Drosophila melanogaster: one gene and its partner. The gene in region 1 interacts genetically with each later gene. Each region holds a gene or a part of one and is shown in the gene's direction. Other genes may lie near its edges. The genes, in order: cpa and Csk.

Evidence for each region.
Region 2: of cpa (region 1) and Csk, changing one enhances a phenotype caused by changing the other (phenotypic enhancement), as found in Drosophila melanogaster (one study listed by BioGRID).

What each region holds. Positions count from the first base shown.
Region 1 is NT_033778.4:21,055,827-21,062,747, forward strand, and holds cpa (capping protein alpha), read left to right. Parts: upstream 1-1,960; 5' UTR 1,961-2,195; coding exon 2,196-2,436; intron 2,437-2,557; coding exon 2,558-2,727; intron 2,728-2,785; coding exon 2,786-3,235; 3' UTR 3,236-4,057; downstream 4,058-6,921. Other genes in the region: shg (shotgun), read right to left, coding at 21-647; CG15653 (uncharacterized protein), read right to left, coding at 4,073-4,296, 4,354-4,642; mRpL54 (mitochondrial ribosomal protein L54), read left to right, coding at 5,087-5,189, 5,247-5,380, 5,441-5,602; Cht8 (chitinase 8), read left to right, coding at 5,822-5,906, 5,967-6,423, 6,483-6,921. UniProt on the Drosophila melanogaster protein: F-actin-capping proteins bind in a Ca(2+)-independent manner to the fast growing ends of actin filaments (barbed end) thereby blocking the exchange of subunits at these ends.
Region 2 is NT_033777.3:11,642,837-11,649,790, reverse strand, and holds the start of Csk (C-terminal Src kinase), read left to right. Parts: upstream 1-2,814; 5' UTR 2,815-2,945; coding exon of another isoform or gene 2,946-3,003; 5' UTR 3,004-3,075; intron 3,076-6,585; 5' UTR 6,586-6,716; coding exon 6,717-6,954.

The sequences.
Region 1 (6,921 bases):
CAGTGGGCCAGGAAACTCACCTGGGCATTTTCCGACATGGATTCGTCGTAGCGCGCCTTGTTGAAGGCGGGTGCATTGTCGTTGATGTCCTCGATGGTAACGTTGAAGGTGCAAACGTCGTCCAGTGGGGGCAGACCATTATCCGTGGCCTGGACGGTGACGAAGACGAACTTCTCGTGGATCGGCTCGTCACGATCGAATGTGTGGGTGGTGAAGATTACGCCCGTGCTGGGATTGATAAAGAACTTGGGTCGCTCGAACGGCGACTGGACGATGCTGTATCGAATGACCTGGTCGGGATCAGGGTCGACGGCCTCTACGGTGAGAACGTAGGTGTTTTCGGGCTGCTCCTCTTTGACCTTAGGAGCGTATCCGGCGCAGTTTTTGAAGGCGGGCTTACGATTGTCGCCGGAAAAGTTTTTGTCCGGCGGCGAGTGAAGTGCGAGGGCGGGTGACAGAAGGCTGATGGCCACGATAACGCCCAGGAGGAGTCTCGCGGGGATTAGTCGCCTGCCAAGGTCGCGGCATTTTCGCTTGTGCTGCTGGTGCGTCTGTTGCTGGGCGGGATTTAGGTGGCCGGCCTGCGGGGTCGCCGACATATTGATGCAGTGGTAGCTTCTGGACATTCGCTGGACACTGGTGGACATACTCTCTAGCGGCGATCCGCCATCGCAGACTCTCTTTTTTTCAACCGCAACACTTTTGAGCACTTCTTCGTGAATCACCCAGTATTATTTCACTCACACACCTTTTACTTTTGTTTGTGTTGCCCACTTCTACTTCCACTTCTTTTTTATTCTATTCTATTTGCACTCTTCTTCTTGTTTCGTTTCTCTCAGTGTACCGTTTGTTTGGACTGCATTTTCATGGCAACCGCTCAATAATTATCAATCGAATCGAACTCGTACAGTGCGCGCCCTGATTGTTAACTGACTTATTCCGATTTCGGTGCAGCTGCTCTGGCTGATATTTTCGTTCACTTTTATCTTTCACTCGTCCGCTTGGGCACTCTCTTTCTCCGTTTCTGTTGCCTCCTCTCTTTCGCACCGCAAACAGGTAAGACCAGGTAAAAAAGTGGTTACACGCACACCGCCAAGCGCGCGCATTTGTGTGCGTGTGGTTCGGTTCGCTGCGTTGGTATGTGTGTTACCAACGACTTTTGGTAAAAAGGCACTTTTCGATGGTATTTCGTTGTGAACTTGTACTTTCTGGCGAATTATTTTAAATAAAAAGATCGCAAAACGTATTTTCTTTCACTTCGATCGCTTTTATTGTCGACTTACAACGAAGCTGCGGAGCCACACCGATTTTGAAACTGCGATCGACGCGCGAGACAACCGCTCAATTCAAAAGCAAAAACACAATGCAACAAAAACAACGGGCGGCGTTAGAGATGTGAGACACCGTCGATTCCTCGGTCATCGATAATTAACGGTTAATAATCTCGATGTTTTCGTTTTATCGATACTATATACTGTCTACACTTCTCGATAAATACGTTGATGTGAATCAATTACACTGGATTTAATATAACAAATATTTCTTTAAAAATGGAAGCTGGAAGATAAAAATGGCCCAGCTTGGGCTTTCAAATAGAATTATTAACAACTATTTTTCACAAACAAACAGGTTAATTTTAAACGAGTTGATCAATACTTTAATACTTATATAACTGAAAAATATTTAATAACCAAAACTAGCTACCATGTACAACAATAACATAATTTGCTTTAAAAAAGTTCTGATTGAGTTTGGTTTTGAACAGGCAATGATATTTATTGGTCTCGAGGAACTATTTCTATAATGTATTACATTCTACATCGTTAAAAGTTTTTTTATTGCAATTCAAGTAACGCGCCAAGACTTTTGCCATTCACCCGTCGGATTATGGAGCAGTGTAGACTGCCCGTAAAATACGGTGAATCGCATCCGGTACAGGTACACAAATATTTCCCATCCCTAGCAAAGAGTGGAAAAAAAAGTGAATCGAATCGTCATCGTCTTGGCCCATTAATTGCGGAGAAAAAAGATTGCAGCGCCGAAAAAACGGTCAAGGAAGAGTTCCAGCGACACCGCAACTTCCAACCACTCCACAAGAAGATCCCGTCGAAAGGTAGAACCCTAGGAACCGGAGGGGAAACCAGACCAAACCAAACAACCGCCCAGCCCCGATTTCGTGAATCACCAGTGGAACTATGGAGCAGACACCGATCACCGATGCGGAGAAGGTGCGCATCGTATCGGACTTCATCCTACATGCGCCGCCCGGCGAGTTCAACGAAGTGTTCAACGATGTGCGGGAGCTCCTCAAGAATGACACTCTGCTAAAGGATGGGGCTAGCCACGCCTTCGCCCAATACAACAAGGACCAGCTGACTCCGGTTCGCATCGAGGGCACCGATCATAACGCCATCATATCGGAACACAACGATCTGGGTGAGTTCAGTTCCATCAATGCCCTTAAATGGACAAAGCCTGCCATATGAGTCACCTACACACATTGTTTGGCTTTCGGTCGATATCTTGAGCCCCACACTGATAAGCAATTGCATTCCAGGAAACGGTCGCTTCTACGACCCGCGCACAAAGCAAGCCTTCAAATACGACCACCTCCGAAAAGAGGCTTCCGACTACCAGGACGTAGAGGCAGATGCCACTGCGGAGCCCTGGAGGGCGGCCCTCGACCTGGAGACGCTCGCCTACACTGCCAGTCATTATAGACACGGGGTAAGTTGAATGAAAAACGCTCTATTGCTTACAATAACCCGTAACATTTTCTCTACAGGTCAGCTCTGTTTTTGGAAAGGCGCAGGGCAACCAGATCACCCTGACCATTTGCATCGAAGACCACCAGTTCCAGCCGAAGAACTATTGGAATGGCCGATGGCGCTCCCAGTGGCATGTGACCTTCCAGGCGGGCAGCGGAACCGCCGAACTGAAGGGTGTGCTCAAGGTGCAGGTGCATTACTACGAGGACGGCAACGTCCAGCTGGTGTCCTCAAAGGAGTGCCGCGAAAGCGTGGTGGTCAGCAACGAGCAGCAGGTGGCCAAGGAGGTGATCCGTCTGATCGAGGACGCCGAGAATGAGTACCAGCTGGCCATTTCGGAGAACTATCAGACGATGTCGGACACGACATTCAAGGCAATGCGTCGCCAGTTGCCCATCACCAGGACCAAGATCGACTGGAGCAAAATCGTCTCGTACAGCATTGGCAAGGAACTGAAGACGCAATAAGACCAGGAGGTGCAAGCGGAAGAGGAGCGGACACAGTCGACAAAGCGGCCCAATAGTCTTCCACTTGCCATGGCCAAGCGAGCATAGGAACCGATCACCAGCATTAACACCACAGCATCCGAAACGAAGTAGCAGGAATACGAGAAACGAGGGCGGCCAGGTGCAGGTGCCTGCCGAAAAAGCAAATGTCTGTAATTGGCTATATACATACGAACATATACCTACTTATATATATATATACGGCCTGTATTTATACTGTGTTATACAACGACGAAAGTGCGTAAACATAACTACACATATATCGAGTACGATCGGAGACGATTTGATTGCAAGGATTTGGATGACTTTAGCCTGACGGTGAACGATGCACTGCCGCCTCGTCTACGTCACGATCGCCACCAATTGTCGCCTTTATCGTTTAAGAAGAGCATTAAACGCGGATTTTATCATGTCCTCTGACCTATGTATTATTCTAATTTTAAACGAATCAAGCTCGAGATCTGCGCTCTCGATGAGCCAGTCAATTCTTCGTGTCTTTGAAGACCAACCAGCCGACTCTCGACTATTTTAAGTGGTATCATTAGGAGCACTCATTCAAGTTTTTCGCTTTCCCGATTGTTCACAAACCAACCACCTAGTATGAGCATGAATAATAACTATGCTAAACCACTGATCATTTTTGCCAGCTCTCCATTGACAAACAATAACTAAAGACTTTGATTTTATAAAAACAATAAATTTGTAATTAAAATAACATAACTATAAAACATTTAAGATTGCTTGAATTAGTCAAATTTAAAGAGAATAAACTAATTGAATCGGACATTCGGATTGTCTTCACTTTGAATGTGTTTCTGGTTGTTGATCCGATGCGGATAGAATGACATTGGAATCAACTTGCTGGGCAGTTTGTTTGGTTATACTCTCGGGCAGATCGAAGGTTAGTTCCTCGGATTTTTTAAGCAAAAATCGTTTCTCTGGGTTGAGTTTTGTTTCCAGCTCCAGTCGATCGATCAGCCAGCCTCTATCCGGCTGATTGGACGCCCAAAAGTATAAAGTTCCTGCAAATATAAGGTTGGTAAACGCCAAAGATTTGCTTTCAAAATCGATGGATCTACCTTTATCCTTGCTGCCCCGCACAGCCACCTCACAACGCGCCTCCTCCGCATTGCAATTGTTGTTGGCGTTGGACAGATCGATGCCAGAGTCCTTGATGGGTTCACCCAGGAGACCAACTGCTCCTCGATGGCTCCGCAGTGCCTTCAAGGCCAGTTTGTAGTACTCTGCGGATTTCACCCGATCCTCCATCTTCCATTTCATGTACATCACAGCGGATATGGAGGCCACCGCACCGTAGACACAAATATTGCCCAGTGTTCGGTTCGACGGAAACTTGAGTCCAACCATCTTGCTAACGCTTTTTTATTTACAATCCAGCTGCTGTTACTTGTGTAATATACCGTATAGCCGGCGTCGAATTAGCGATGACAGCTGGTCGATATCGTTATGTGAAAAGGCTTATTAAGACCGAAGTCCACCTCTAAATGCATTTATATGCAAATTATTTGCAGAAAATATAACAACATCATCTATTGTTATGTTGTTTTAGTGACAATTAAGTCATATTATAAAATTGCTCATAAAATTGCTTTTCATTTAAAAATAATTTCGATAGTTATTTGTTTTGAAAAATCAGCTGACTGGTCGTATACTTTATAACCAGGGCTGCAGTGCCACACTTATAGTTAGCAGATTATACAACAAAACGCACAGTTTTGTAAATATCTGTAATTTATCATTTGTTTTTCTATTAAAGTGACGAAAACGGATTAAATAAAGCACATAGCAGACATGACCAGCCTAACCGCAGTTTTCCAGATGGCGAGGCAGCGATTGATAGCCCCAGCGATAGGAAACTGGGCACGTTTTTATGCTGCAAAACCGGCGGCGCCAGGTGAGCCTCCACATCCAGGTTAAATAGTTAACAACTAATAGTAAATGCATTCCACAGCGGGCAAGAAGAAAAAGCTTGGCAAGCTGGGTCCCATCATGGAGAAGAAAGTCATACCCGTGGAAACGGATGCCAACAAATTGGTGAACTATGTGTGCGGAAGTAACTACATGAAAACAGGAGAAGATATCAAAGTAAGTTTACCCTTTCAATTCCTCAATACACTCTTCTGTACGAGTATCTTTGCTGAACAGATCAAACCGGATTCGGAATATCCCGACTGGCTGTGGACGCTGAATACGGAAGGCATAGTTCCGCTGGACGAACTGGACCCCAACTCCAAGCAGTACTGGCGCCGCCTGAGGAAACTGGCCTTGCGGCGCAACAATCAGCTGTCCAAGCTAAAGAAGTTCTAGAACCCATAGCCCTAGGTGTTATCGTTGATTTTGGAGACACAGCCGACCGTCACAGCGGCCCATGTTGTTTGCGATGCTCTCCTGAGCAACAAGTGTGCAAACACCATGTTATTTTGCTAAAAGCGAATTGCAAATACATTTATTGCACCGTCTTATCATAAAATTGAGTCGCTATAAAAGTCATGGAGTTGCGGGAAGTGTTCATTTAGTGGTCAAGCAATGTGGAGCGTATCTGGTTTAGTTAAGCTGCTCCTCGGGGTAATCCTGATGGCAGCATCATCTTCTGCACAAGGCAACTCCTCAAGTATGTAAAAGTATAACAGATTTGCATATTTCGAGGAATATCAGTGAAATCCCCTTGCAGAGAACGTTGTCTGCTACCAGGGCACTTGGTCCGTTTATCGACCTGGTCTGGGCAAGTTCGGTATGGAGGATATTGATCCGTTTTTATGCACCCATCTTATCTACGCCTTCCTGGGCATCGAGGAGACGGGCCAGCTTCGCGTGATCGACGCCTATCTGGATCTTGAGGAGAATAGTGGACGCGGAAATATCAAGAGTTTTAATGCGCTTAAGCTAAAGAATCCCGTGTTGAAGACGCTCGTCGCTGTGGGTGGTTGGAACGAGGGCTCCAAGCGATTCTCATTGGTGGCCCGTGATCCCTCGAAGCGTGAAAAGTTCGTGGATGATGTGGTCAGGTTTCTGCAGCGCCATGGTTTCGATGGCCTAGATCTGGACTGGGAGTATCCTGGCCAGCGTCACAGTCTGGATAACGAGGATCGCTCGAACTATATAACCTTTCTAAAGGAGCTGAAGGAGGGGTAAGAAATGATGGAAGTTGTATGTGCTGCCCATTTTCTGACCCTTAACGCCTTCTCAGCTTGGAACCCTTTGGTTTCATACTCAGTGCTGCCGTGGGCTCCGCACAATTCTCCGCCGAAATATCGTACGACATTCCGGCTATGGTTCCGTATCTGGACCTCATTAATGTGATGGCCTATGACCTTCACGGACCGTGGGACCAGGTGGTGGGCATCAATGCTCCACTATACGCTGCTGAGAAGGATGCCAGTGATTCTAGCGGGCGGCAACAGCAGCTGAACGTGGACGCCGTAGTCAAGTATTGGCTGAAAGCAGGTGCTCCGGCTGAAAAGCTGATTCTAGGAGTTCCTTTCTACGGGCGCTCCTTCACATTAGCGACCGCCGAGGGCAATCAGCCAGGAGCGCCGCATATTGGCAAGGGAATTGCAGGAAACTACTCCCGCGAGCCGGGCGTCCTGGGTTACAACGAACTGTGTGAGATGATGGAGCGGGAGGAG
Region 2 (6,954 bases), on another chromosome or scaffold:
TGAGATGTATAAATGCAGATGAAATGGACAACGACAAACAAAATACTTTTAAAAGCGCACAGTGGTCACACGATACAGTGGCCGCAAAAGGAAATACAAGACTTTTGATTGTTTACACAAAGACCGCTTCTGTTGAAATCATTAAAAATATCCTAAGGCAAAAAACATTTTCCCCTTAAAAGTGTGCACAAAAGTCTGCATTACGAGTTACTACTGTATTTGTTTTGACTATTTTTGGGTCGACCATTTGCAGCTTCTTTATGTTTGTATTTTGATGCTGTTGTCTGAGGTCAACTAGTTGGCTTCAAAACGAAAGCAAAATCCGAAAATATCGTAATAAAAAAAATCACAAATACTACGCATTTTGGTTCGTTCCAATCAAAGCGAAAACAAAAACACGTTTTACAACTTTGCGGCGCGAAATTCATTGTTGTTGTGTTCGTTTTTTATTTTTATTTTTTGAATAACAAACACATGCACAGGCACACGCACACGCACACACGAAGTTATATACAGAAATGCTCATATATAGATATAGCCAACAATCGGGCCATGAATGACCGAAGCGATGCGTACAACAAAACCGATAGCCACAGTAGTAATTAAAGGCAATAACCGAAGCGTGGCGCATCGTAGTTTTTGTTACGGGTTTCCGTTCATAGTAATGCCTTTTGTTGTTGCTGTCTTTCGGTCAGTTTCTGCGTCGTCGGCAAAAATTTTCGGTCGCTGACGTCACACCTAGGCGCCACAAAGCTCCCCCCACTACCCACTGTCATCCCCCCCTTCTCCCTCTCTCTCTCTCTCTCTCTCTCTCTCTCCGGGGTTCTATGTATCCCGTTTGTTTGTGTATTGCAACATGCGTGGGCGTTATACTCCAACTGTATCGGTGTGAGTGAGCAAGTTTGGCTGTGTGAGGTCAGTGTTGCGTGAACTTTTCGCATTGGAATGATGATGTACTAACTTTTGGCGCCCACTGTTCAATATTCCCTTTATTGCGCCTATTACGACTATCTATCTCTGCCCATTTTCACTTGCGCTAATTACGCCGTTGCATGACCACTGTACTCGGGACTGATTGGAATGCTAATTGGAATTTGCAATTTTATTTATTCCGATTGGTCATACGCCATTACTTCTAGGGCTGGGCAGGTGATAGAGATAGAGATATATATTCAGTTCAAATTATATATTAGTCATATTTAGCGATGTCTAAAATAATTACGTGAATGCCTTTCTATATGCATTCCATTGTGGCTGTCTAATATACATATAATTTTGACTTATTGAACAACTGCCAAAACATCTGATCCAATTTAAACCGTACGAAAAAATACATTTCCCTGAAGAAAGCCTAAATCCATGCACCGTTCAACAATTTGTTTACGTTGACTTTATCGTATTAAAAAAAGGCTATCGACCATTTAATCTTATCATCAAACAGCTGGAATATGCATTTACGTTTATCTGGGAACGCGGTGCAGAAATGTGTACTTTATGTTTATCTGGAACCGTTGATATATGTAGATACATTCATATGTTTCGCATTCTTGAAATTATTACTTTCCTCGTTTTGTTGCCCAGCGGACACATTTTCTTCGCATATTAAAGGTTATTTTTTCCTTGCCATCTGTTTGTTTGTTTATGTTGCTTTTGCGGGTATTTTTAGCACAAATCCCTCGCCTTTTGATCTACTTGCCATTCGGGTTCGCCAGGCAAATTCGCTGGGAGAGCTGGTGCATGAGCACGGTTCCGACTTGATGCTAATTGCTCCGCAAATATGCAAGAAATGTAAAAGAGAAAAATCGGAGAAAATCACGAACTGTGCAACTGCAACTGCAATTGGAACTGCAAGCGCTGGATGCGAAAGAAACAATAAACATTTTGATGTCTACATTTTTGCAAACAACTGATTCGAGAGCGGCAACAAATTGCCTGGAAACGGAGACGAAAAGTAAACATGCAAGAGAAAAACTATTTGCCATACAAGTCGTTGGGAAAAGGAGTGTGGCGGGGGGCACGGGGTTTGTGCGACCAATAATGGGGGAATTAATTAACATGGCCAGCGGCGGCAATTAGACCAAATAAACGAAACAGAAAGGAAATCGATCCGAGTCACAAGCCTCCAATGTTGCTGGATGTGTGTTTTTACAAAGCTGTGATCGTTTTGCCTCTTGAATCTCCGATATCACAAAGTGCACTGTGCGTAATGATTTTAATGAATTTAAGGTATAAATATGTTAGGCTTATGTAGAAAGTACAATTTGATATATATAATATAATAAATTATATATGTAAGTCTTACAATTTTTCTTTAGTTTTTACTTGGGATCGCTAATAATGCGATTAAATAAACTAAATTTCTTTTAATTAAGTTTTCCCGTGTAAATATAGGCGACCGCAGAGTGGGTTACTTTTAGCTAGGCCAAAAGCGAGACCGCAGCAGCTACTTGAATGGCCAAAATCGGCCTAATGAGTTGGGCAACACATGTTTCGATTTGACTTCCATAGCGCGACGCTGCGAAAAGGAGAACCGTCAGTCGGTGGCCAAATGTGCAACAGGTGGGCGATCGCATGCGAGCGACTGGTCTTATCGCATGCAATAAATGCACGATAAAGAGAAGAAGCCGGCTCACAAAAACACGAAGAAAATCTGAGACTGAGCTTCGCAAGCGGCGCTCTCTTTCTCTGAAACTGAAACTCGGAGGTTGATTTTGTGTTTTTTTTTCTTTCGTTTCATTTTGTGTTTTTGGTTTTATTTATCGTGACTCAGTCGCGGCGGCAACTTCGTGCATCGCTTTTCAGTTGAAAACTTGCAGGCAAGGCGCGCGGTCGCGTTTCGATTCAAAAATCGAATAGTAAATAGAGAGAATAGTAAAAGAAAAAATAAAAATAAAATCGCTTGCCACGCATGCGCAGCTCATCATCGCGTGTGTGCGAATTGGCCAATGAGTGAATCGATTGCAATTGGCTTTTTGCAATACATAATAACAATAAATTATGACGGTATGCAAAGTGGCCTTTTTTTGATAATCCGATCCGTTCAGCGAAAAGGCACAAAAGGCGAACTATCGTGATGTAATACCGCGCGAATGCGAATTGTTCATATCGCTATTGTAATAATTTAATAATTAATTATACAGGCGGGAGCTATTTTTCGGCTTCGCCTCAAGGAAGTGATTAATGCAAAACATTATCAAAGTGCGAAGAAAGTGAAACAAAAAGCGCTGAAAGATCAGCATGGCTTGAACATACGTATATACTCGAGATTTGGTGGCGCAATGACCTTTGTGTGTTTGTTGTTTGATTTTATTTGCCATGTTGGGGATGTTCGCTTAATTATGGGTTTTGGCCACATGTATCGGACATTAGTATGAATCTGTGTTTCGAGTGTGTCCATGATTAATTCAAAATTGCTCAAGGCATGCACGGTCAAAACTGAAGTTGATTTTAGGGCTTACTGGTCAAAGTCAGGCTTAGCTTTCAATTAATTATGTAGTTAGACTGCTACAATTAGTTTAAATCTGATTAGGATTTTCACAAGACCCCATATCGAATGCCGAATTAATTAATTTTAAATTAATAAAGGGCTGTTTTGGTTGCCCAATGATTTTTGCACAAGGTGGCCTTTAATTGATCTGATCACCTTTCTAAAATCATTCAAATTCAAGCTCTTCGCCAAACCATGTAATTTTTTCGTGTGCAACTAATGAAGACGATCGCGTCGCGGCTGCATATTTGATTGTTTGAAAGTCTCGAATGAAAGTGCCTTGGCAGCATGTTACTGTACTGTACACTTCCCTCCCCTCACCGATTACCACTTTTTTTTTTTTTTTTTTTTTTTTTTTTGTTTGCTTCGGGCCAACTTCAATCACAGAGTGCTAATTGTTTTCTCAGGTCTCCGTGGATTGAATTCCCCCAGTCGACAAGTTCCCATTACTGCAATTTCTTCGCTTATTCTGCCATTCTGCTCGCTCTCTAACTGCACTTTTTAATCCGATCCCAAATCGCAGATCGCAGATGCAACTGCGGCGGATCGAGCGCAGCTGATCTCGAAATTGCATGAATCACTCGGCCTAAAAGACCCTCTGCACAATCGATTTGCACGCTAATTTTGGATTTGGCGACGTGCAGACACTCGACTTTGACAAAATAAAAACTGGAAAAAAATAAAGACTGCAAATTCGAAAACATTGTAGGCTGGCGTGTCGGGGCATTTTCAATTTTCCAGCGCATTAGTCATCGCCGGTCTAATCGGCCAACAAAAAACTAAAGAAAAAAAAAAAAAACGAAGAAAAAAGCAAAACCGGAGCCTTAAACTGTAACTAGTTTTTTCCAACGCTCTCTGAGCTGAGAAACTAATCCGTCGTCCTGCATGAATCTCGCACTGAAATTTGTATCTCCAAGCTGGCTGGACCAAGTGAAAGTGGACAAAAAAAGAAATATATATGTAGAAATAGAGAAAAAAAGACTTCAAATACAACTGCAGCAGACGCGTGAAACAATTTCTCATATTTTTCTTGGCTCCCCGTACACTTCGGTTATGTGTTTTCCATCCACTTATTCAATTTGCCATTCACTGCACACAAGTGAAGACGAGCTTAACCCCCAAACTGGCCGAAGATGTGCCCCCAAACCCTCCAAAGCCCCCCAAAGACCACACTTAACACTCGAAAGCCAATGGCGCATTTCATTTCTCGGCTTTGGACTCTTTCGTTTTCTTGTAATGCGTGCCAGGCACGTTAAAGTAATTGTACAAATTAATTTATTAATTAAGCCACTGGCCGGAATGGTCAGAAACAATAGCGAATGCTAAATGCTCTTTGTCTCAAGTTAAATTGCCGATCATTTGTTTTTTTTGCTCCAAGTCAGAGCTGCCGTTTTGGTGAAAAGAGGAGGGTATTCATTCGAGAAACTTTCACTCTCCGCTTGCCAAAATTATGTATGCAACAGGTATTGCCGCAAGGTTTTAATAAAACCTATTCGAAACGCAGCTCCAAAATCCCCAACGCTCATTTCGAGGATATCCGGACCAGCAAACTTACGCATCTCGACCAGGTTCAAAAACCCGACCCATTGTCTTTAGCTCTTCTGTTTTATTTTGGCTTTTCTCCTCGCTTATTGCCCACTTTGTCTCAGTCTCAGTCAACGGTTTAGACTTTTTTGGCCTTTATTTTGATTCGACTTTGTGGCGTTGGCTTTTCATTTTGCATTTCGTCAGCGGCGACACAAACTCGTTGTGTCATACATAATTCTGTTATTGTTTTATTTAATTAGTTGCGTTGTCTTTCTTGTGCGGTGCGCTTCTTTGGGCGACCGAACGCTTTTCCCACTCCGAAAAATAGAAACACTCCATCGTGCGGAGAATTTCATTTGGCCGCCACCGTTCCTTTGTGGGTCATGATAAGCAATCACTTTCCACGTGCCCAATTCTGGCTCATTTGAATAGTTAATTGTAAGTTGACATTTACCTAGGAAAGTTCAAGAAAGTGAAGATGCAGTGAATGTTGGCAAATATTTGGGAATTCTATGATAAAGATTAAACTTAAAGCCAACTGATATCCTCTTCCCTTCTGCCCCTTTGTATATCCATAAGATGGGCAAATAATTGAATCCTGCTGCTTACAAACTAAATGGCAATATCAGTGCAGAAATATCTCTTTTCCCCGCCAACTTTCCCAACATTTGTCACCTGTCTTTAGGGGATAGACAATAGTTTTGCTTAGCTCACTGCGCAGTCGACGTCGACTGCGAGGTTCCCACGCCCAAATTATTTGCACAATATGTAGCCAGAGCTCTCCAGTGAATTCCAATTCAATTCAGGCGGCTGGTTCGTGTTTTCCCAACCCAGAGAAATAAGCCAACATGGAATGCCGAACCAGCATTTGGCCCAACCAGCATTTTTCGCTGTTTGTGGAGCACTCCAAGCCATTGTCGACTATTTCAGTGAGCCGCTGACAAACCGTTAATGTGGCGAATTGACTTGCTGAGGAAAAAGCTAGCCAAAAGCCAGTACAAAAAAAAACAAACATATAGATGGCAAAGAGTTGTTATTATTATTTAGTTATTCCTCGCAATGAAGTCAATTTCTGTACGTAGCTCGGTTTTTTTTTCATCATCTAGTTTTCAACCTTTTCCATCCAGGCCGGGCTTTTATTCCATTCCTCTTTGTTTTTTTTAGCTTGAATTTTCTCTTTAGAAATTTTCCATTTGCGCTTTTTTTTTGCTAACAATTATCTGCCCTGGTCTTTTCTATCGATTCCGCCCAGTTGTCCATTGTGGATGGAGAATCGACGTATCCACATGCTGGCCGATGGCAAATCGAAGCGCTTACAGAACCTTAATTAGTATTATTAGAAACGAAAACAATTTGCCCGGCTTTGTCCACTACGGACTGGGCATTAGCCTCGATTTCAGTTCTACAACAGGCTGAAATGGCGAATTTTTATGTTTGTACTATCTGCTACTGGGCACCCACAATGGCATCCATTAGAACCAACTCCCATTTTGATTTCACTATGTGTATATATTGATAATTAGATGGTAATTGGAAAGTATTGGAAAGAATTTTAACTAGAATTTGAAAAGGTCTTTTGTAGGGATCATACAATTAAAGTTCAACCAGAGGTTTTTGCGCCATCAAAATCAGAACTTAAGTTAGTGCACTAGAAACCATTTAAAAAGCGGACTGACAACGAAAGTAAACGCAATGCGGGAACATGGTGACAACAATTAAGATAACCTGCGATGGAGTGTTCATCCAGTCCAACTCGTACCTCATGCCCACGCCTTCTCCCAGCGGAGCAGACGCCACGGTATCGTCATCCTTGGAACGGGTGCTGAAACCCGCGTCCGCATCCGCCTCTCCATCCAATTCGAACAACGAAAGTGATAACTCGCAGACGAGCAGTGGCAGCCAGACGGCGTCCAGTGCCAGCAAGCGATCCAATCGATCCG